Linked DNA regions of Pelodiscus sinensis. The protein of the gene in region 1 interacts with the protein of each later gene in a biochemical or structural test. Links are inferred from orthologs where the notes say so. Each region holds a gene or a part of one and is shown on either strand. Other genes may lie near its edges.

Region 1 (7,397 bases):
GCCCACAGGGGTATTTTGTTCTGCTTCTCACTTGTGTGCGACCTTCCTACTGATTTCTCTCTGGGTCAGTGGCCCCTGACTCAAAAAAGGCTCCCCACCCCTGGTCTAGATGATCTAGTGTTCCCTTCTGGCCTTAAACTCTATGACCTCATCTGCTGCAACCACTGCATTTAAACAAGTGCAATGCATCTATGCTGGGATGGGATTGTTGAAGCAGTACAACATCCCTGGCTAAAATCCCAGTGTAGACAAGCTCTTACAGATATAAAAGATCTGCATCGCATCTCCAACCCCTGGAGCCAGCCAGCCCTCCTCTTTGCATAATTTTCTTGCACATTTAGGCTATGATTTTCAAAGGAGGCTAAAGCTCTCTTAACAACTACTTAGTTACACCATGGCAGACCCTTTGTGGACACACTTCTACCAATTTAGAATAGGTTACATCAATTTAGCTCACCTGTAAAATTTACCAACACAAGCAAAATTCATTTATAATAAGCTCAGCCCAATACAAGGAATGTCCTATCCTTCCAACTCAAGTGTTCGCACCTTTTTCAGTCAGTTTAAAAGCACCCCTGCGGTTAAACTGGAACAACTGAGTGCAGGCCAGGTCCAAGAGAGTTTCGCACCTAATTCAAAGGCTTCTTTGAAAATCTCAGCATCATTACCCCCTAGTGTGCGCCCCACAGTGATGTACTGTATAAATGCTGTGCAAGGCATTTCAAGAGCTAACCATCAGCCATTCGGAGTTTGCTAATCCCCACTCAGACTTCCATATGGCTTTCCCTCCCAACTGCAGAGACAGGAAGCCTCACCCTGAGGCTATAGAAGGTTCTGAAGAGTTTCCCCTGACATTATTCCCAAGTGACATATCATGGGGAGTTATGTCCATCCCTCCTCTTCCTGTGGGTGGCCATGGCATAACACTTGAGGCTAGAAAGCAAGACACACCCTAGAAGGATCCTTGAAAGATTTCTTTCTCCTGTCCCACCCCCCAAAAAAACCCAGCATTCTGTTTTAACCCCTGCCTTTTAAAGGACTGCAGGACCTCCTCTGGAATGAAAGACAGACAGAGGAGTTATTATTACTGCAGCAATTCAATGGCACAGGACTTGAAAGAACAGTGACCACCCAGGCTCTGCTATTAGAAGTCTTGCTGTGCTATCAGCATAGACCACTCCCTAAGCTGCTGCCGACAGTGATATCACTGCAGGCATCAGTAGAGAGATACCCAGGGATCTGGGAGGGATGAAAAACGAGCGAGGCAGGGGAAAAAATAGGGAAAGGAAACGTGACAGCAGGCTGTTGCCTTCTCCTGGAGGATGCAGGGCCCCTCCCATGTATTTCCCCATGTTTTCTGGATTGGCAGGAAGTGTTTACAGAAAGCACAGTCATTGTAAGACTGGGAGGGCAGGACAGCAGGTGATTCTCCCCCTCCCTTCCTTTCCCGTTTGGAAACCCTGCCAGATTTTGGCAACCAGAAAGGAAGCTAAGAAGAAAGCACACAAGTCATCAGCAACCCTAAGATCTCAGGGCGACTGGCTCCCTGGTGCAAAAGGTGCAGAGGGATGTGGAATGCCACAGCTACTAGAGGGCCATTGGGCTGGGACATACAGGAGGAGACATTTCTACCATTACCAGATGACACACATTAGTTAACATGACTGCCACGATACTAGTGCACAAGCTTTTAAATCTGGAGGTATGAGAACCGCCCCTGTGGCCTCCCAAGCAAGCTGCTGGGGCCTGATTTGCAGGAAACAAAAGGGTCTGAAAATCAAGGGGAAGCTTCGGGCGGATGTAGGGAGTACACATTTGTAAATACTCAGAGAAATATAGGAAGAAAAATGCAGTCCCCCCCCCACACACACACAAACTCTAACAGGTGGCTCTCCGTCTCCCCTCACTACCTTCTTCCAGCGGGGTGCAGCGTCCGACACATCCAAGGCCAAAGCTGCTCTTTCACCCCAGCTCAGATCCCTTCCCAGACACACCCACTGTTGTCTTGCTTTTCCCTTCACAGACGTGACCCCTCCCCTGGCGGCTGCCCCCTCTCACAAGCACAGCCGTGAACACACGTCTCACCCCATGCAAGTGCTCGCTCGCCACCCACCTGGCAGGCACCCCACCCTCCCAACACACACACTTTTAAAACAGGCAGCCGCTTTCCCATTGCGGAGAGGGGCGGTTTGCCCTTCCCAGCTCACTTTGGAGCCTCCTAGTACAGCTGGTGCAGGATCAAGCGAGCGACCCGCCGAGCCGCCGCCGCCGCCTGCTCAGGCAAAGCCAGCTCTGCAATGCTGGACTGCAGCCGCCAGCCCTTACGGCGCACACATGCTCCCGGGCACACGCTGCCCAGGCCACTGCAATGCCGCCCTCAGCACTCCCGGGGGGTGGCGGGGGAGGGAAGGGGGCCGAGAGACACTTCCTCCTCCCCCCGCGCCCAGCGCCACCGCCCCTGCCCGCACTTCGGCAGCCCACCCGCCAACCCCGCTGCCCCGCCAAGCGGAGGAGACGGGGGGCACTTACCAGCGCGCCCGCCCAGGCTGCTTTCCTTGCGAGACAGAGAGCCGGGGGAGGGGGCAAATCCTCAGTGCGGGGGGGCGGCTTCTGCGGGAGCGGCGCACACAAAGTTTGGAGGGAAAAGGCAAAAACAAAACAAAAATCCCCCCTCCCGGCCAGATCCTGCTTCCCTCCCGGCGGCGGGTCAGCGGCGCGCCGGGCCCAGCAGCAGGCGAACTTTCCACCGGGGTGGTGGAGAAGCCCCCGGCTGGCAGCGCCCTCCCCGCATTGGCACCGAGCACTGGGGCGCTCGCGGGCTGCAGCGGCGGCGGCGGCTCGGACAATGTGTGTGTGTGTGTGCACCAGGGGCGAGCCCCGGCAGCGGCAGCGGCGAGCGGCACACGCCCAGGCTCCGCTCCCCGCCCAGCCGTCACTCACCGCCTCCCGCCGCCGCTGATAGGCCGCTCCGGGCCCCGGGGAGCGGAGCCACCCTCCTGGTGGGCTGCGGGCCGCGTCAGTCACCGAGGCGAACGGCGCCTCCTTTCTCCTCCGCCCCCTGCTGCCGCCTCGGCCGGGGCACGGGGCGGGTTATGGGGAAGCTGCGGCAGCGGGCGGGGAATTGCTCCTCGGCTTTTATTTTTAGCGCCTCGTTGCCAGCCCGTGGAGTCCAGCGACGCGGGGAGGTACCGATGCTTTATAACCTGGTGCAACAGGGACTTGTTCCGCCAAGGGTGAGTTGTAATCACCCCCGACGCATCAGAGGCCGAGGAGCACACAAATGGTCCAGCTGGACACACCTAGGCAAACGTTGTTTAAGAATGAGTTTTGATCTCCCACCTCTTCTCGCCCACTCCTTAAAGGAAACAGATATGGGGGGCCATATCCTCACCCCTCAAGCAACCTCATTGACTTCAGTGGAGCTGTGCTGATTTACCCCAGGGCTGGCTTTAGCGTGGTTGGGACCAAGGCATCCTTCCTTCTGTCCTTCCCTTTTCTTCAACTTGAATGGAGTGCTGGGGAAAGGTGCTGGCTTGTTGGAAGACCCTGGAGAATGGAGTTTTGTTTAGCCACAGAACATGAAGGGCCTGGGCATTTAGAAATAGGTAGGGTCCTACCAAATTCAAAATCACAACCATGAAAAATATGTCGCAGACTATAAAGTCTGGTTCCCCCCCCATGAAATCTGGTCTCTTCTGTGCTTTTATCTTATACTATGCAAATCTCACGGTGCAGATTAGATAGGGGTCCTGATACAAAGGAAGCTGCTGAGAGGTCACAACGTTATTTTCGAGGCATTGTGGTTTTGCCACTCTTAACTTCCATGCTGCCTGCAGAGCTGAGTGGCCAGAGTGTTGGGTGGCTGCTGGCTGGGTGACCAGCTTTGGAAGCAGCGCCTTGCCAGCAGCTGCACTGAAGTAAGGTTCGCAATACCATACCATGTCACTCATACATCTGCATTGCGGCCTTCAGAGCTGGGTGGCCAGAGAGTGGTGGCTACTGACCCATGGCTCAATTCTGCAGGCAGTAGTGCAGAAGCAAGAGTGGCAATGTCATGCCATCTTTCTGCATTGCTGCTGGTGCAGCTCTTCCTTCAGACCTGGGCTCCTGGCCAGCAGCTGCCACTCTGCAGCTACCCAGCTCTGTGCAGAAGTAAAAGTAGCAGTTCTGTGACCCTACCCCCAGTGCCTTAATGAGTTAGAACCCCAACAATTATAGCACCATGAAATTTCATATTGTAAATTTCGTTATATCAGATATTTAGATTGCTTAAACCTTATGACCATGAAGTTGACCAAAATGGACCACAACTAGGGTAGGGCCCTAACAAGAGAGTTGTTCTGTTCCCAAATCAGGACACTCCTGGGCATCTCCCATCATAATAAAAGGTATACACGTAAAACACTGCAGCGGTGCTTCAGTGAAGCTGTTCCATACTGTTGCAGATTTACGGGCGCGAGCTCCTACTCTCTGGCAGGAGGGCGGGGCCCTGCGAGCCCACCACCTCAGTTTACCCACGTAAGACGGGCTTAAGGGCATGAGCCGGCAGGAGCGTGGGGCCCAGCAAGCCCACCGTCTTAAAGGTCAGGGGGAGGGGAAATCCCTGAGGTCTCTCAGCCCCTAAGTCCTGCCCCCTCTTGGGGCTCAGTAATGACAGTCTGTCCACTAGGCCAATTGGCTGGCAGTACTCAATGCGCAATTAGAATGCAGTGTGGGGGGAGGAGGGGATTTAGGGGGACCCAGGCCCTCCCTCTCCACAGGGTCCCAGCCCGGGGCCCTAAGGGTTCAGCGTGTTTGACCCCTACCCAGCTGACAGGGTTCCACCCTGAAGCGCGCCGCCCACGGGCGCCTAAAGCACTCTGCCCCAGGCTGCTTCCTATCCCCCTCCTGAGTACCGACCCCCCCTGGGTTCATCCAAGGGGCTTACCTGTCCAGCGGCTTCTCTGGCACTTTGGTCTCTGCACCGAGCTTCCGGGGGATGCAGGCCGCTCCTCCACTGGGGTGGCAGACTTTGCTCCCAGCGCGGCGACAGGTGCCTCCAACTTTGTGCACCGCCCCGCTGCCCTCTTCTCCAGGACTTTTCAAGTGGCCCGCCGCTGGCCGCCAACAGATGCTGCTCTGCCCCTTCAACGTCCCGCTGCTCTGGGGCACCGCGGGTTTGTATTGGGGCCCCGCCCCCGCACACCATGGCCCTCTGCCATCCGCGCAGCTCCGGCAGCTGCTGGCTGCTGCTTCCTGGCATCGTGTCGCCCCACCCTCTTGCTGATAGAGTGGGCAGAGTCTTGTTGGTCCTAGTGTGGGCCTCGGCGGGCCCATCACACGCACCAAAAGGAGAGCCATAATGCTGTCTACACCAGGGACTGGGACCATATAACTCTCGCTCAGGGGTATGGATTTTTCATGACCTGCTTATACAGCTGTGACTGCATAGTGTAGACCTGGTCACAATTAGACTGCCAACCAGGGGGCCTTCATGGCAGTTTCTATGACTGAACACTGATCCACTAGGGAAGTTTAAAAGTGGGTAATTGGGTAACTGTGTAACTGATGAAAATCTCAGAGGTTAGAGTTATACACATCTGCAGCGTGGGGTGGCAGCTGAATCCCTGGGATGAAAGCTTATGAACCAAGTAGAAGGGGATGGCTTTGCATCAAGTGTAAGCTGCTGGGAAGCAGATGGATTCTCTAGGAACAAAGCACTGGAGTGAGTTGCTCTGTGAAAGGGGCTGCGAGGCAGATGAAGGTAGAAGAAAGTGGCCCTGGGAAGCAGCAGTTGCTAAGCTGTTTCAAACTGTGCCTGGGCTAGAACCCAGAGGATAGCAGGGGGTTCTCCCTTACCAGCTACATTGATTGTTTTAGGTAGCAGAACATTATTGCTCATTTCCATGATTCCATCCTGTGACTACCGCATGTTCATTTGGTCCCTTCTCGTAGTGTGCATAGGCATCTTCTGTGCAACTGAAATCGAGGCATCTGCAAGGGTCGGGGACGGAAGAAAAGGTCCGTGCAGTTTCTTGCCTCACATGGTTTCAGGATTTGGTTCTCCAGAGGGTGAGGAGAAAACTGGTCTCTCTGGTGAAAATGCCAGACTCCCCAATACCATTTTGCTGCTTCTCTTCCCAGATAACGTAGGCTCCTGGAATCCAGCTCGCCTGCAGATGCATCAGAGTTAATAATCATGGGTACCTTTAGCACATTTAGAAGACTGCGGCCACACCATTGGCAAGGCTCTCCCCAAAGCTTAAGGGTCACTTGCAGAGTGGCAAAAAGTGAACTAATAAGAAATAAAGTTTGAGAATGTGTTTTGTTTTCTTTAGAGAACACAGAATGCTTCCTGTTTCCCTCTGACATACATAATTTGCCATGACAACCAGCTTATGAAACAGAAAAGTATTGAGCATAAGGTGCTTGGTTGCTATGGTGAGGAGAGAAGCTGAGACCTTTTCCTCTTTGTTCATTGGTGGCCGTGCATCATCTAAGCAGGAGGGTCCAAGTCAATAAAAGTCCTTGTTAGGCTTGTAAGGCAGCAGGTTTGCATTGCATTATCTGGCAACATGGATCAAAACTGAAACACAGTCATTAGGAGGAATTAAGGAAATACGTGCCAGAACAGGGCTGGTTTCTTAGAAATACAGAGCCAAATTCAGTTCTAGTGTAAGCCAGTGTAACGCCTGCTGATGTCATTGGAAGTTGCATTTGCTTACACCAGGACTGAATTTGATTGCCATCTTTATCAACTTTCATATTTAGAAACTTCTTTTCCAAAGTGTGTCCAATGGGGAAAGCTCCTCTCCATAGATCTGAGAGGTGGGGCTGGCCATAGAGTTCTTGTTGCCTCAAGGTAGACTAGGCAGGCTTTAGTTATTCTATCATCTCACCCTGTCAGCAAGTATTGGGACTTTCTTTGAAAATACGGATTGCTCATGACTCATTGTGGAAAGTGCAGCTCATTAAGTCCACTCTGGGAAGTGAGAGTGGGCACAGAAAACTGGTTCGGGATAGAAAGAGGGGAAGGGGAACCCCAGAAACATCCTCAGATGTATTGGGTGGAGTGTAAGGCTGAATTTTGTTATGTTATTTAAACAATTAGCAAAATCGGTCTAGGAAAAGGGGAAATTTTGGACACTAAGTTAAGTACAGGTAGTCCCACTGCTCACATGCTTGAAGTTATTTGCAGTGTTGTAACCATGTTGATCCCAGAATATCAATGGGGTGGGTGAGATAATGCTTTATTGGACCAACTTCTGATGGTGAGAAAGACAAGCTTTCAAGCTTACACAGCACTGAAGAAGAGCTCTGTATAACTCAAAAGCTTATCTCTCTCCATCAGAAGTTGGTTCAATAAAAGATATTACCTCCTTCGCTTCTTGCTTGAAGTCAAGCATGTGCGTAAGTGT
Region 2 (7,413 bases), on another chromosome or scaffold:
ATGGTTTCTGCAGCCTGCTGGAAATTCCTCAGGTACTGGAGTAGGAAAAACACCCAATCAAGATACTTCAACTCCCTACATGCTTCCTTTTCCAGATCCCAGATGTTTTAAGATGAACAAGGACCCTGTTCTAATTATTTTTAAAAATGATATTCACATTTTATTAGTTCACATAGAGGTATCTGGTCTCAGTTTCTTTAGTTAGTAACTAGGTATTTCCCATAAGCTATTAATGAAGCCAACCACCAGAGTGAATTTAAGGAAGAGAACTCCCTCCTTCTCGATCAGTGTCTACTACACAGGTAATTTAGATTTGAATATGTACATCAGCACAGACTGAGCAGCAGTGTCAATGTTAACCTCTGAAGCATGCAATCCTATGCTAGAACCTGTTCATTTTGAAGAGCAGTTTATCTAATCATGATGTGCTTTGGAATATTATACTTTATGAGATTCTATGTGCTGCACAAGGTGGGGTTAGGAACAACGGACAATGCAGGACAAAAGAAGTCATTGCAGAAATGTTTAGCTGCTTTTAAAAAATTCCAATCCAGTGCTTCACAGGTTATCAGTGCCATCTTTTGGCAAGAGAAATTTAATTACTGTCCTCGCTACCTCTGTAACCATATTAACAATTATGAGGAGTAACAGGAAAAAGTAATTTTCAGTTCCTTAAATTAATGTTAATGCCCAGACAGAGTGAATGTCCATTCAAAACTGAACATGAAAGCATATTCATCAGCTACAAAAAGGGGAAGGGAAGAAAGAAAATGAACCATTTAATTTAGAGCCAGCGCTGGGCAGCAGAAAATCTGCACCCAGTCACTCCATCAAATATTAAGCTTTGATTACTATACAAGAGAGTCAATTAAAAAAAATCAATAATCTAAGTTCCCTTGACACCATCAGCAGTTCCACGCTGACAATTAAGTTCAATCAACCCTCCTCCAACCCCCAGTGTATCATTCAGCTTATTGAGAAATGCCCTTACATTGCTATAATGGCATCTTGGCAGAAAAATATACCTCATGCAACAATTCAGATACACCCCTGCATTCTAGGGATTATGTCCCATAAGCAGGTGCAACTCCAACTGAGATCAGAGCAAGACCTCTTTACCAGCAGGGATGAGCTGAATGAACCCAGATCATTAAATGATGAAAATTCTATAATGAAGGTAGGAACATCTTACAACACTATCGTTGTGATTACTCTGTGAATTTGCACCTTCCCAAAACGTGCATGAACAGGATGAGAAAAGACTTATCAAACATCACCAGAACTCACAGCACAGCTACTCTAAATCTTAAAACCAAGATGATCAGTGTTATGCGCTAGTGAGCAAAATGAACTCCTGAAGGAGCTCATGACTATGGCATGATAGACACACACACATTTTTCTCTGCCAGACTCAAAAACTCATCAGACTAATCTATCTATCTATCTATAGTGGTAGCAAATCAATAGTGTTTTATAGACAATATTACATTAGATCCCAATAAACCAGCAACAGAGCTCCATGCATCAAACCATTATCTGTCATCCTTCAACACAGCTATGTACTTAGCAAGCCTTTACAGCTCCTGAAGAGATAAAACAAGTGACTTAAATCAAGCATACATCAGCAAATACATTGTCTGAGTATCAGGTCATTTGTCAGTGGGGCAAAGGGCAAGGCATACAATGCTGTCAAAGTTGCAGATGAAGGTAAATACCTTGGTATGTAATAGGGTTAATAAACCAACAAGCTATAGAGAAAAAAATGAGGGGGAAATATATTCCACAGCTGGGAGGTTACTCAAGGTTTGAAGCCTGTGAAAGAAACAGCTCCCCTCTAATATACATACCACCACTGGCACCCTGAAGTAACCTTTGTCATCAAACACAGGTGCTCTCCTAGGGGAATTTAACTGCTTTAAACGATTTCTGATTAGATGCAACCAGGTTGCCCGGATTATCCCTTCTCAGGCAATGCGCTGTGCTCTTACATACACACACACACGCTCTCCGGATGCCCTCAGGAGCGTGTAGGGCAGGGGGCTGTGGAGACCACCTGTCACTGTCAGACACCAGCGGGGGGGGGGGGGGAGCAGGGATCCCACTCCTGTCAGGGGGCAGAGGGGTTGGGATGTGATTCAATTTCGCACCGAGAGGGGCTGCCGATCAGTGCAAGGAGGGGCGGGTCAGACATCTGCAGTGAGAAGGGGGGCGGTGGGGGATGCCAAGGGAAGCGATCGGTCACCTGCCAGGAGGGAGCTGGGGAGGGGGGAGAAGAGACACTTACTGGCGCAGCGCAGGACTCGCTGCTGCACCGCCTGCCCGCACAGGTCGCACCAGCCGCTGCAGAGCGCGAAGGTTTGGAAGCGGTGCCCTTCGCCCGTCTCCTGCCGCACGCGGGGGTCCCGGGGCTGCTCGAAGATGGTCCGCACGTCGGGCAGCAGGCGCGGCGCCCCGGAGCGCCGCCGCAGGCGCAGGTGGAGCAGCCCGGAGCGGGCCGGCTTGGCCGAGCCGGGGGAGTCCGGCGGGCTGGGGGCTCCGGCGCTGCCCCCCGGCTCCCAGGGCTGCGCGGCAGAGCACGCAGCTAGCGCCGTGCGCCCGGGCTCCTCCGCGGTGCCAGGGAACCTCCCGTCTCCCGGGCGCGCCCCGTCCGCGGGCGCCCCGCCGCTTGCAGCCACTTGCGCCGGCGGAGCATCCTCCGGCGCCGCGCCCCGCTGCTGGGGCAGGGTCCCCTGCCGCCTCCGCGGCTTCGCGTCCGCGGACGCCGAGCGCTTGAGGATCTTCTTCCTCTCGTGGGCGCTCAGGCTCTGCAGGAAGAGCTGCTGCTCTTTGTCCAGGAGCAGCGGGCAGGGGCACGGCCCGATGGCCGGGGAGGCCATGGCCCGAGCGAGCCGCGGCCCGGCGGAGCGCAGGGGTGAATTGGAGAGACAAGGGGGGGAGCCACCTGGAAGCGCCGCTGGCGTAGCCGCTTGCGAGCGCCGCTGCAGTGGGAGGCCCCGTTAAACACACAGGGACACGCGAAACCCGCCGCGAGCCTGAGATTGGAGCAGCCGCTGCGGCACCAGCCAATCAGGCACCCAGCCCCACTGCGCTGGGGGAAACGCCCTTCGTTCCAGGCACAGTCCCTGCCCCACCGCGCGTGCAAACCGGGGCGCAGACCCCACAAACCGGAGGGGACAGGGAAGGGGGGCGCAGCTCTGCTAAGAGCCGGGGCAGAACCCAGCAGGGAGCTATTGAAACAACTGGCAAGGAGCCCGGTTGCAGTAGGACCACACCTGTGGGAAATTGAAAGTTACTTTTCAGCACTGCTGCATAGGGGGCACCTGTGTGTACTTACACCCATGCCTGCATGCCCCGGCCAGGCACCTGTTTACAAAGAAAGGAGACAGGAATTCAAACGCGGCTACCAGTCCTCCCAGCAATGCCCAGCCGATGCCTGCCTGAAAGGGGAATTTTTTTCACTGATCTAAGGGCTCCCGTCCTTGCCCAGAAGTGACTTAGGCAGTGAGGGAAATAAAAAGCCACACAAGTTTTAGGCTGCTGAGGGCCCAGGCCACTTTTGACAACAGGATGTTATGGGCAGAGGCTTAAAAAGGTATTTAAGCACCTAGTGGGATTTTGCAAAGTACCACCACAATTTCTTCAATAAGTGGGGAATCCGTTTGTGCCCCTGGGGGGTAGCACACACAGTTAATGAGCGGGCTGCAAGACTGAAATAAACCCGCATGCATTAATCATGACCCCAAGAATAAGATTAAATATGTTAATATGCAGCATATTTCAAAACAAGTTGAAATGCTTTAATCATTCATGGATTAACAGAGTGGTCCTCAACTTCAAATAATAAAAAAGAAACAATTCACACAATATCAATTCTTTATCCGGCCTCTTCCCTGCCTCCTCTCCCAAGTGCTTCGGGTCCCTGCTCCAGCCCCTCACCCAGGACTTCATGGTGTTCTAGCCCTGGGAGGTTGGAAGAAGAGCAGCCAATTTGTGGCTCTCTGGAAGTGCTGGGAGGAAGGGGGAGGAGTAGGTAAGTGCAGGACCCCGGAGGCACGGGGAAAGCAGGTGCATGGGCTACATGTGGCCCGCAGGCTGCAGGTTGCCCACTGCTGGGTTAGATAAAGCTCTTTTTAAAACACAGAGATAAATAACCGTAAGGGCTATAGAGAGTTTACAGCACTGCTTCCTTCCCCTCCATTACTAAAGCTCACCTCTGCACCACATTTGGGCCCATTAACTGCACTTTCCTCAACACTTCAACAGGAAACTGTACAAAAATGCAACACTGGTTTTGGAGATGAATTTTTGAATGGCTAATTTATATTTATTAATAAAGTAAATTACAGTCTTTACTAAACATTCAGCTTCTACAGACCTGTATTTTTATACACATACAGGGACACGCTGCAGCTGGTGAGCTGAACCATTGCCAATTAAGTGAACCAATATTTTCTCTGTTTCCTTGTCCTCCCTTGTAGGTTTGTATCCACTTATTTTATAGGTAGACTATAAGCTCTTTGGGGCCCAGACTGTCCTGTTGTTCTGTTTGTACAGCGTTTGTGCGCCTGGTCTAGACAATCATTTAATTTTCCACCTTTATTGCAATCACTTGTTTATTTAAATGCTCATTTTCATGGTGCACCAAAATATTCTCTTGGGTACTTGCTGTTAGATGCCTAACTCCGTATGAAAGACACTTTGTGAATGCCCCTTGCCCCTGAATGTCCAGTCAATGGAATGGGAACAGCATCTGCTCAAGAGCCTCTGGAAGAAGAAAACAAAAATCAAACCATTTACTTAGGTGCCTAACTTTGGGCTCCCAAGTTTAAAAGGCTTTACTGCTGTTTTTGTGTATGTGTTTCATTCCCTGCAAGACAAGTGAAAATAAACCCAGCCACTTGCCATTGCAGACAGCTTCTGGTGCTAGCATGACCTAGCTCAGGGGTGAGAAACCTAAGGCCTGGGGGTTGGATGTGGCCTGTGGCTTGCCTGGATCAGACCCCAAAGGCTCAGGGCTCCCCCCTCCAGCTCCCTTCTCTGCCATCCTCCTGTGGGGTTGGAGCACCCAAAATCTAGCCTGGGCCCATCTAGGCTCTAGTGTGTGAGGGGAAGGGAGGGAGGGTCTTTCTCCTTCACAGTCGGAGGCCACATTGGTGAGGTTTTTTGGTTGTTGTTTCTCACTTGTGTGTGGCCCCCGACTAATTTTTCTGTGGGTCAGTGGCCCCCAACCCAAAAAAGTTTCCTCACCCCAACTCACCCCGACCTAGCTGGAAGCAGAATTAAATAATATTTGCGGGGGGGGGGGGGTTGTTGAGGACCCTTTTTGTTTCAGGTTTCAATTTGAATTTTAAAATATCCCTGAAATGCTTCTTTTGCTTTTAAAAAACTTTTGAGGGAGGGGCCAAAATCCATTAACATAAGAGCATCCATACTGGAGCAAGCCAAAGGTCCATCTAGCCCAGTATCCTGTCTTTCCACAGTTGCCCATTGCAGATGCTCCCAGAGGGAATGAACAGAACAGGGAATCATCAAGTGATCAATCTCCTGTTGCCCATTTTCAGCTTCTGACAAACAGATGCTAGGGCCACCATCCCTGCCCATCTGGCTAATAGCCATTGATAGACCTAACCTCCATGAATCTATCTAGCTCTTTTGTTATTGTCTTGACCTTCACAAGGAGTACCACAGGTTGACTGTGCATTGTGTGAATAAATATTTCCTTTGTTTTAAACCAGCTATTAATTTCATTTGGTGACCCCTAGTTTTTGTGTTATAGAAATGATAACTTTTTCTTATTTACTTTCTCCACACCAGTCATGATTTTATAGACCCCTATCATATCCTCCTTTAGTCTTCCTACAATTGCCGCTTGGCAAAACTCATTCTTTTCTATGCCTTTTGTATCAAGAGAAACAGAACAAAGGCTAATTGAACATTAAATGTAATATTGTGCTGCCTACAGTGCTTCTCAACTAGGGAACACCAAGTACTTCCTGAACATCACTGAAGGCTCACTAAATGCCCATGAGGCAGCTACTGTTCCCATTTTACAGACAGCGTGACTGAGGTAGAGAGAGAGTAATTAGTCTAAGTTTTTCAGAAATGACTAATTAGTCTGGGTGTCTAACAGGATAGATGCCTTAAAGGGTCAGATTATCAGAAGGTGAATGCTCCACAATTTTTGACCCTTTACGGCATCTCAAGTTGGATGTTTAAACAATCAGATCTTCAAAATCACTAGCCACTTAAAATTTTTGGCCAAGACCACATGACAAGTAGGCAGTAGAGCATAGATTGAATTTGGTCTTCCAGGTCCCAGGCTACTATTACCGCACTACTTTTTCTTTGTGGTGTAATTTCTCTCATATGGGTGTAAAACTGGTGTAAACTTCAGTGGCATTACTCTTAAATAGTTGTCAGTGGAGTTACTCCTAAATTACATGGGTTCCAGGGAGAGGATAATCAGAGATAATTGCTTTTCATTTGCTATAGTGGAGGGTAAATTTGTTCTCATGTGTCTGTTTCTCAAGGGAGTTAGGGATGAATCAGATATTTAACCCCAAAAAGCGCTGGGAGATCTGTGTTACAAGCTAATAGTGCCATAATAGCACATACATAGCATGATGCTCAAGTCAGTTATCAAACAGCAGTCCAGCTTGCAACATTCTAGTTTCATTCTTCATTTTAGCACGAAGTTGGTCCCCCCTGCCCTATGTTTTCTTAAAATCCCTTCTCCCCTGTTCATTTTATCATCATCACAAGCAACCTCTCTTTTCTATGCAACAAAGGGCTGTTTTGCGCTCAAGCGACAGTTACAACATAGCTACAGCCAACCCACCCACCCAATCCAGTAAAAGAAAAAACGTGGGGAATATTTGTGACAGGCTAGCGCATGTTATGTGAAGGCTTCTTCATAAGAGATTGAACTTGTGTTGTATGAGATTTGAAAAAAAAAATAGAACTTAAAATAAATATACATGGGCCCCAAGAAAAGTCAATCGAACAGTTTTACTTCATATGCAATTGTGTGTCAGAACCCAATGGGGGAAACTGAGTGTGTCCTTTGTAATTATGGGGTTGCTGAACTGTAAGAATTCACTTCTCATGTGTCTCTTGTCCTGTTAATACTGGGTCTCTTGACCAACACACAGGACCAAGACTCAGGAATTCGAGTTTCCAACCTTGTTCTGATATTGATTTTGTATGTGACCTTGTGCAGATCACTTAACCTCTTTGCCTTAGTTTCCCTACCAGGGAAGTGGGAAAATTTATTTACCTGAAAGATGGAAGAGAATTGAGTGAATTAATATTTCTGTAGGGCTGTGTAGTCTTCTGCACATTTAAACAGATATATCAGTTCTACAGATGAATTGCTTTGCCCCCAACAAAAATATGGCAACCTCTGAGATGACG
Region 3 (7,806 bases), on another chromosome or scaffold:
CTAGCTGCTCATAATCACTGGCTAGGTCTGCACCTCAGCCCCCAACCCTGACACATAACTTTCCCCCTTCTTCTCACAAATATTATGGAGCACACAGCAGGCTGCCACAACAATGGGAATGTTGCTTTTAATAGGTCAGACTCCAAAACATTCCCTTTACACACCCAAAAGCACACATTCTACCACCATTCTGCTCTTGCTCAGCTTGTAGTCAAACTGCTCCTTATTGTGTCCAGGCTTCCTGTGTAGGGCTTCATGAGCCACGGAAGCAAGGGATAGGCTGGGTCTCCAAGAATCACTATTGGCATTTCAATGCTTCTGATGTTAATTTTCTGGTCTGGGAAGAAAGTTCCAGCTTGAAGCTTTTTAAAGAGAGGAGAGTTCCTAAAGATGTGCACATCTAGCACCTTTCCCAACCATCCCACTCTGATGTCAGTGAAGCAGCCCTTAAGATCCACATGTGCCTGCAGCACCATCAAGAAGTACCCTTGTGGTTTATATATTCCTTTACAAGGTGGTTGGGTGCCAAGATGGGGATGTACATTCCATCTACCACCCCACGGCTACATCTCTATTGCAGCCTTCTTCCACAAAAGCTTATGCAAATGAAGTGCAGAGTAGAATGTGCTTCTTTTGCATAATTAATTAGCAGCCATTTTTGTGCAAGAGGCTTTTGAGCAAAAAGGAGCTGGGTAGACAGCTGGATTCTTGCAGCAGGTTCTGCCTGCGATGCACCCGGACCTGATGCAGACAGAGGAAGCTCCGTATTCCCAGAGCAGCCTCTGTCCTCATCATGCTCCTCAGGACTAGAGCAGCCCCCTGTGATTACTTTTCTAATTGATTAGTCAACAGATTTTCTGTCGACTAGTCGAGAAGGGTTAGGCAATACCAGCACTCAGTTTGGCTAATGCCAGTTCACAGCATAACCTTCTCAGCTGCTGCTCTGCACTGCACAGCTTAGGGAAGCCATCAGCGAAGGCGCTGAGTCGGTCCCTGTTCCAAGCATTTCTTTTCATTCATCACCACACTAAGGATGTTAAGGACTAGTCGACTAGTTGACTATCCAATAAGCAAATGCTTAACGGATAGTTGAGTTGACTAATCGATTCCCCGCCCCCTTGCTGCCTCTATTGGATAGAGGCAGCAAAAGGAGAAGGAAGAGGAGGTACTTCAAAGGCAGTGTTGCACAGCTGACCTGGTATAGTGTTTCAAAGCGGCAGCACTGCATGGAGCCCCAGGTCAGCTGGGATTTTCAAAGGAGGAACATAGAAGTGCCTATCGACAAGTGGATGGAAATTCCATCGACTACTTGACTAGTAAATTAACCGATATTTAACATTCTTAAACCACACACACACACACACACACACACACACACACGGCTGAATGAAAAGAAATGAGTGGAGCAGGGACCGACTGAGTGGCTTCCTTAGACCGGGCAATGCAGAGCGGCAGCTAGCGCTGGTGTGTGCTGAAAAATGAAAAAAAAAATGCGTGGAGCAGGGACCAACTCAGCTCCTTCACAAATGGCTTCCCCAGGCTGTGCAATGCAGAGCACCAGCTGGGGGGGATGCGATTAATGAATAATTCTAATCGATAAGCTCCTGCTTATTGGTCAGTCGACTAGATGATTAGTCACTAGCATGCCTTATTCCAGGCCCCACCAGTTAATCAGAACCAGTAAGCATCAGCTTTTAAGGGTGATGCTTGCCAATGAATCTTTCACATCCCTACCACAAAGATCACTACATTCAGCCTATTTCAGACCAATGTGAGGAAACAAGAGAGCCTCAGACACTTCACTGAGAATTCCCTGATAGCCTCTGACCCTTCTTTTAAGGGAGAGCTAAAAGAGGAGGGTTCCAGCTCCTGCTGACCTGGCAGTATGACTGATGGAGAGAAGCACTCTTTCAGATAAGCTTTAGAAATCATAATCACCTTATAAGCTAGACCAGGAGACAAACAGATAACCAGTGAAGAGCCCAAAGTACTAGTGTCTCATACTTCTAGTGAGGAAGCCTGCTCAATTCTGCACAAGCATAGGATCAGACTGGTTTGAAGTGCAGCACCTTTGACACCTAATCTTGAGGGGACAAAGGACTGAATAAGAGTGCCTTGTCTGCAACTGAAAGGGCTAGATGGTGACAGTAAACAGCTGAGTAGGATGCTGCTATAATACAAGTGTCACAGAGTAGCCACAGGTACAGAATCACTTAAAAAGTCCCAAACCCTAGTAACAATAGAATTGTGGGTTGTCAATACAACCTGCATGTCCACTCTACAGAATGTTCAGTCTAAAGCTCAGTGGCTGCACAGCCTCCATCTAACATTAACAAGCGTGACAGGAGCAGGACCAGCAGGGAAGCTGCCTGGCACCAACATTACTGGGGCCAGCCAAGGCAGGAACACTTACCCATTATCACCACCAAACACATAGATGGCATCCCGATAGGCAACCACAGTGTGTTTACTGCGCCTGAGAGAGAGAGAGAGTCTGTCAGACTTGGGGAGTCGTCACCCTGACCCAGCCGCTCTCCCAAGACCCTTCAGCCCCGCCCCTCTTCCCTGGCCCCTCAGCACCAGCCCCGCCCCCTCAGTCCCTGGCCCCTCAGCGCCAGCCCCAGCCCCGCCCCTCTCCCCTGGCCCCTCAGCTCCAGCCCCGCCCCCTCAGTCCCTGGCCCCTCAGCGCCAGCCCCAGCCCCGCCCCTCTTCCCTGGCCCCTCAGCACCAGCCCCGCCCCCTCAGTCCCTGGCCCCTCAGCGCCAGCCCCGCCCCCTCAGTCCCTGGCCCCTCGGCGCCGTCCCGCCCGGCGCGCGCTCCTCCGCCGCCTCACCTGGCCCCCACGAACTCGTCGCACGGCGGCAGGCGGCGCCAGCGGTGCACGGTCTCGAAGGGCCCGAAGTTGAGGGTCAGATACTCCACGCTGTCCGAGCAGCTGTGGTCAAAGTCCACGCTGGGCGCCACCTTGGAGCTCCCGGGCCCCGCCACGGAGGGGACCCCGACCGCCGCCATCGCCATCAGGAAGGCCCGGACCCACAGCCCGGCGCATGCGCAGCAGCGCCGGCGGTCCAGCGTGCCCCGCGCCACCAAGAGACTGCAACTCCCAGCATGCCCCGCGTCTTGGGCGACAGACAGAGGCTGCTGGCTCCCGGACACTTGGGGAGGGGGCGGGGCATCGGCACACGTGGGCTAGGGGCCTCCCCCCACGCGCCACGCCAGGCAGGTGCAGGGACTGGCGGGCTGGAGCCAGGGAATTCCTGGGGCGCTCAGGTGGCGTTTGGAGCAAGAGCGTGTTACCAGGCCCAGGTAGAACGGCGCCAGCTGGCCGCGCTGCTTTCAGACCCTTCCCCCAACACATTTGGGAATAGGGTTGTCACATGGTTTAAACAAAAATACCCGACGCACTTGCCCTGACATTACAATCTACAGGGCATCTAATTTAGAAAATACCGGACATTTCTATTTTCTCAATTTGTTTCCCAACCAGAAAGCTCAAATACTGGACGGTCTGGTTCAAAACTGAACACCTAGCAACCCTATCTGGGAATTTATTTCAAGATCTGAAATCTAGGTGATTTCCATGGAAAGGTAGCGCCCCTGCTTACTGCAACCCCAACCCTGGAGCACCCTGGTATCCAACCAGTTCTGAAGCAATAGCTATTCCTACACAAACACGGCTCCAGCAAAATCTCTCCCAACCCCGATAGTCCAGTAGGGCTGGGAAAGACTGGAACTCAGACCGGTCCTCATTCCCAGACCACCACCCACCTGGAGATTAGTCACTATAGCATGGCAGGTACACAAAATTTTTCCTCATCTACTACCTAAGTGTTTCCCTCCTTTTCTTAAGTGAATTCAGTTATTCCTAATGATTTTCCTCCCCCCATGCTTTGCCATATTCAACAATCCTACTTGTGCTCTCTCTCCCTAGGCATCAATCAGCTAACAGGTATCTATGTACCTTTTCTGGTCATTCCCTCCTAACACAGCCCCGGATCATTTCTGTCACTCTCCTACAAGAGCCCTGTTGTCCATCAGTACATTGGTGCCCAGAACTGAATGCACTGCCTTATTACAGCTCAAAGGGACAGACACTGGAGCATTTCGTTTTTTTCCTTCCTACCCCAAATCCCCAGTTACACTTAGACCCAGAATAAGCCCCATACCACAGGCTTTACTGGAAAACCTTGGAGGTGGGCAGGCTGTTCTAATGCCCTCCCCCACAGCACTGTAGAGGACATTAGAGATTTATGTTAGACCACATTTCTAGCATAAATTAGAAGTTACAAACTGGATTATAAACCAGAAATAAGTTTAACAACTATGAAGATGTAAAGGACTAGTCAATTCCCCCTCCCCTGCTGCCTCTACAGGTAGGGGCAACAAGGGAGAGAGAAGAGAAGGTAACTTCAAAGTGGCAGCCTCACATGGAGCCCACGCCCAGGCTCCATGTGGTGCTACCCCTTTGAAACGCCGGTGTTTCAGAATGGCAACCCCACATGGAGCCTGGGGTCAGCTGGAGACTCCCTTGCTGATCCCAGGCTCCATGCAGCACTGCCACTCTGAAATGCCAGCAGAGCCCAGGATCAGCTAGGGACTGATCCCGGGCGCCAGCACAGCATTTCAAAGCATGCAGAGCCTGGGGTCAGCTGATCCCGGGTTCTAGGGAATGCTGTGCAGATCCTGGGGTCCCCAGCTGACTCCAGGCTCCACATGTCATTTCAAACTGGGAGCACAGCATGGTGCCTGGGGTCAGTGGGAGACTGAGTCCCCCGCTGACCCCAGGCAGGTGTTTCTGCTTTGAAATACACAGGAGCCCCCTGCTGGGGACTCTTGTACATTTCAAAGCTGGCGCACTGCTCTTGTGCATTTCAAAGGGTAAGCACCCTCATGGAGCCCAGAGTCAGCAGGACTTCCTGCAGGCCTTGGGCTGCACACCCAGTTCTGCATTCCTCCTTTGAAATGTACAAGAGCCCCTCTTGGGGCTCTTGTACATTTCAAAGAAAGAATGTGGAAGTGCCTATGGACTAAGTCAATGGAAATTCTATCATCTTCTCAACTAGTATATTACTCGTTAGTTAACATACTTCATTTCCATGCCACAAAACACACTGCTACCCTCAAACATCTGGCCCTTCACTTACCTGGAAGTGTGCATGACTATTTTAGAGCCCTGTTTCCAGTGTATGGGATATCATCAAGCAATATCTGATGGCTCCTTCCTGCATTCCGTGTAGTTGAGATATGCCTTACATTTTCAGCACCAGGGCACCAGTGTTTTACAACAGGCCCTCTTAACATTCAGGAGCAAAACTTCATCAGCTATCATGCTAAAGAAATGCTACAGCATTATGTATCTTCTATTACTAATTTCAGGAAAGAACCATCTGATTCTTCAGCACAGTTAACCTCAGGATTTCAGAGAGAGAGAGAGAGACTGAGAAAGCAAGTTTGGCACACAAGTCAGATATTGCAGAAGATATCCTACAGCACTCAACCCTTTTTACTCCATTCACATGCAATGACAGAATGTAGTGTCTCTTCTCCTTCCATCATTGCTTCAGGAAGGTCGGGGCAGTCCTGTTGCATTTTTTTAAATGTTAACATTAACAAATAAACTAGGAGCATCAGCTTTCCCTGGGTTACTAAAAAGGAGAGTTAATTTTTATTTCAGCTGAGGAAAAGAAGAGCCACATCTTAGTAAGTTCAGCAGGGCTTGAGGTCATACAAGCTTTGTGAAGACGTACGGCCTTGTACTAGGTTCCTTTATAACTCCCACCTCCCAAACTAAAAGACCAACAGAAGAGAGTTAACTGATGGACCATACAGGAAAATGGTTCTCATTCTGCCTAAAAAGATATGAAAGCTGCAGAGGCAGTTACAGGTTTCCCCTCCTGCCTAGAGGGCCAATAGCAAACCAGGTGAATAGTCTCTAGGGAACAATTAAAGGAGAAGCTTTAACGGGCAAATGTGTAAAAAATTTAATTATTTCCTTCTATGAATCTGTTCATGCTAGGATATATTTTAGTACTTTTATCTTCGTTTTCCCCAATAGGGAACAATAGGCAAAGAAGTTTTATGAGATACATTGCTCTGTATATTTGCATAAATAAGTCTGTAATGTTATTTTACCATCCTATAAAAATACACATACTAATTTGTGGACTATAGCTTGCCCACTTCATATACATCTCAGTAGTGTGAAGGAAGTAGTGAAGTATTTCAGAGAACCAGTTTTATGGAATAAAGAAGTTACATGTATTTTCTCCCTAAACAATTATGATGGTTTGTATTGAGTAAAACCAGTCTTCAGTAGCCACATTCCACCAGAATTAAGACTGAAGTGGTAGCTTCCTGTCAGCATGTGCATACAAAAGCTTTCGCAAAGTTGCAAAGTTAAAGACTAGATAGAAACTCCCACCCACAATACGAAACAAGATGTTCATTTAGTTTTATTACAGCTTCCAATCCAAATTCTTGTAAACAGAGTCCATATTGTTTAGGCATCTCTTTGATAAAAGTGTCTGTAGTTTTATAGAAAAGTCACATGGTAAGATCAACATTTTACCCTGTTAAGTGTTATGCAAGTGCGAAGAAAAACAAAACTTTCAAAGTCTCAAAATACATCCAAGCAACCTACAAAAGACCTGATTCCGCTCTCATTTTGTCCAACTGTGTTGTGTGAAACTCAGTTATATGCCTCTTCAGAGGCAAATATAAAGTTTTTAAAAAATATTTAAGGACACATTATTTTAAGGACCTCCTGGAAAGGTGTTTTTTTGTTTTTTGTTGTTTTGGTGGAAAACAAAAGTGTTCCCCTGGTGATAGAGTGCAAAGCTCAGTCTTGTCTTCGGTGTTCTCAATAATCCTTCCCTTTACAGAGTCATGGTAAGACAAAGCTCAATACTTCGGGATGAGGAAGATCACATCTGTAACAGGTGAACACTGGAAAAAGTTTCATGTTTAATCACAAAACATGGAATAAGCTAGAAAAATATTGTCCAGCTATGTCAATACAGTTCATATGCCAATGGCCTGAAGCACTCTTCTCTCATTCTCATTGAGATGGTCTGAGAACATTGCATAGCAAGGCTGCTGTGCAAACTGACAGAGGAAATCAGTGAGATAAGCCTAGAAGGTAGATGACAAAGGACATAGTTAACATATTTCAATACATCTATCATTGCTTTACTTTGGACATTACAATTGCATAATGTGAGAGAAGACAAAGTGAACGAGCACAAACGAAGAGTGGAGGGGAAAGGGATACTGTGCTCAGCTAATAAGACAGATGCCTAATGCAGTATGGTCTAAGTACATGCCAAACAGACCAAGCCAAATGGGGTTCCCAAGCTCTAACCAAGGCATAGGTCAGGGAACACAGAGCCAGTCAGATCATTTACTCAAGACAGAGCATTGGGAGGTGTCTATGAGTACGCTCTGCAGTGGAAAGAAGCATTATTACAATCTGTTTCCTAGATTCTGACTGATTACTCACTCCATCTCCCCACAACCCAGGACTTCCCTGTAGCAGAATGTATTGTGTCACAGCTAGTTCAAAAAGTCACAAATGACAAAGCTTCTGTTGTTCCCTGACAAACTATGACATAACTTAATACACTTTAGTCCAGCAGTTTCCTTCTTAAATACATGCTTAGTTTTTCCGTAATGAAAATTTCACATTGTTCATCCCCTCACCAGAAGTCAGAAGAAAACAGGCTGCCGCAGAGGGCTGAGGAATAAGGGGAAACGTGGTGAAAGGAGGTTACAGTAGACGGAGGGAAGAGGACAACAGTTGGAAGGATA

What was found. The genes of interacting proteins can lie anywhere in the genome.
Region 2: the proteins of HRAS (region 1) and RASSF5 form a complex in vitro, tested with the Homo sapiens proteins (2 studies listed by BioGRID and IntAct, with this or other methods). The link is inferred for Pelodiscus sinensis from reciprocal best matches to the Homo sapiens genes HRAS and RASSF5.
Region 3: of the proteins of HRAS (region 1) and LZTR1, one has a biochemical effect on the other in vitro, tested with the Homo sapiens proteins (3 studies listed by BioGRID, with this or other methods). The link is inferred for Pelodiscus sinensis from reciprocal best matches to the Homo sapiens genes HRAS and LZTR1.

The regions. Positions count from the first base shown.
Region 1 is NC_134714.1:121,452,000-121,459,396, reverse strand, and holds the start of HRAS (GTPase HRas), read right to left. Parts: upstream 3,013-7,397; 5' UTR 2,941-3,012; intron 2,893-2,940; exon of another isoform or gene 2,530-2,892; intron 1-2,529. UniProt on the Homo sapiens protein: Involved in the activation of Ras protein signal transduction. Ras proteins bind GDP/GTP and possess intrinsic GTPase activity.
Region 2 is NC_134737.1:6,050,575-6,057,987, forward strand, and holds the start of RASSF5 (ras association domain-containing protein 5), read right to left. Parts: upstream 3,019-7,413; 5' UTR 2,877-3,018; coding exon 2,285-2,876; intron 1-2,284. UniProt on the Homo sapiens protein: Potential tumor suppressor. Seems to be involved in lymphocyte adhesion by linking RAP1A activation upon T-cell receptor or chemokine stimulation to integrin activation.
Region 3 is NC_134737.1:16,320,557-16,328,362, forward strand, and holds the start of LZTR1 (leucine-zipper-like transcriptional regulator 1), read right to left. Parts: upstream 3,019-7,806; coding exon 2,834-3,018; intron 2,477-2,833; coding exon 2,414-2,476; intron 1-2,413. Other genes in the region: IPO9 (importin-9), read right to left, coding at 7,021-7,131. UniProt on the Homo sapiens protein: Substrate-specific adapter of a BCR (BTB-CUL3-RBX1) E3 ubiquitin-protein ligase complex that mediates ubiquitination of Ras (K-Ras/KRAS, N-Ras/NRAS and H-Ras/HRAS).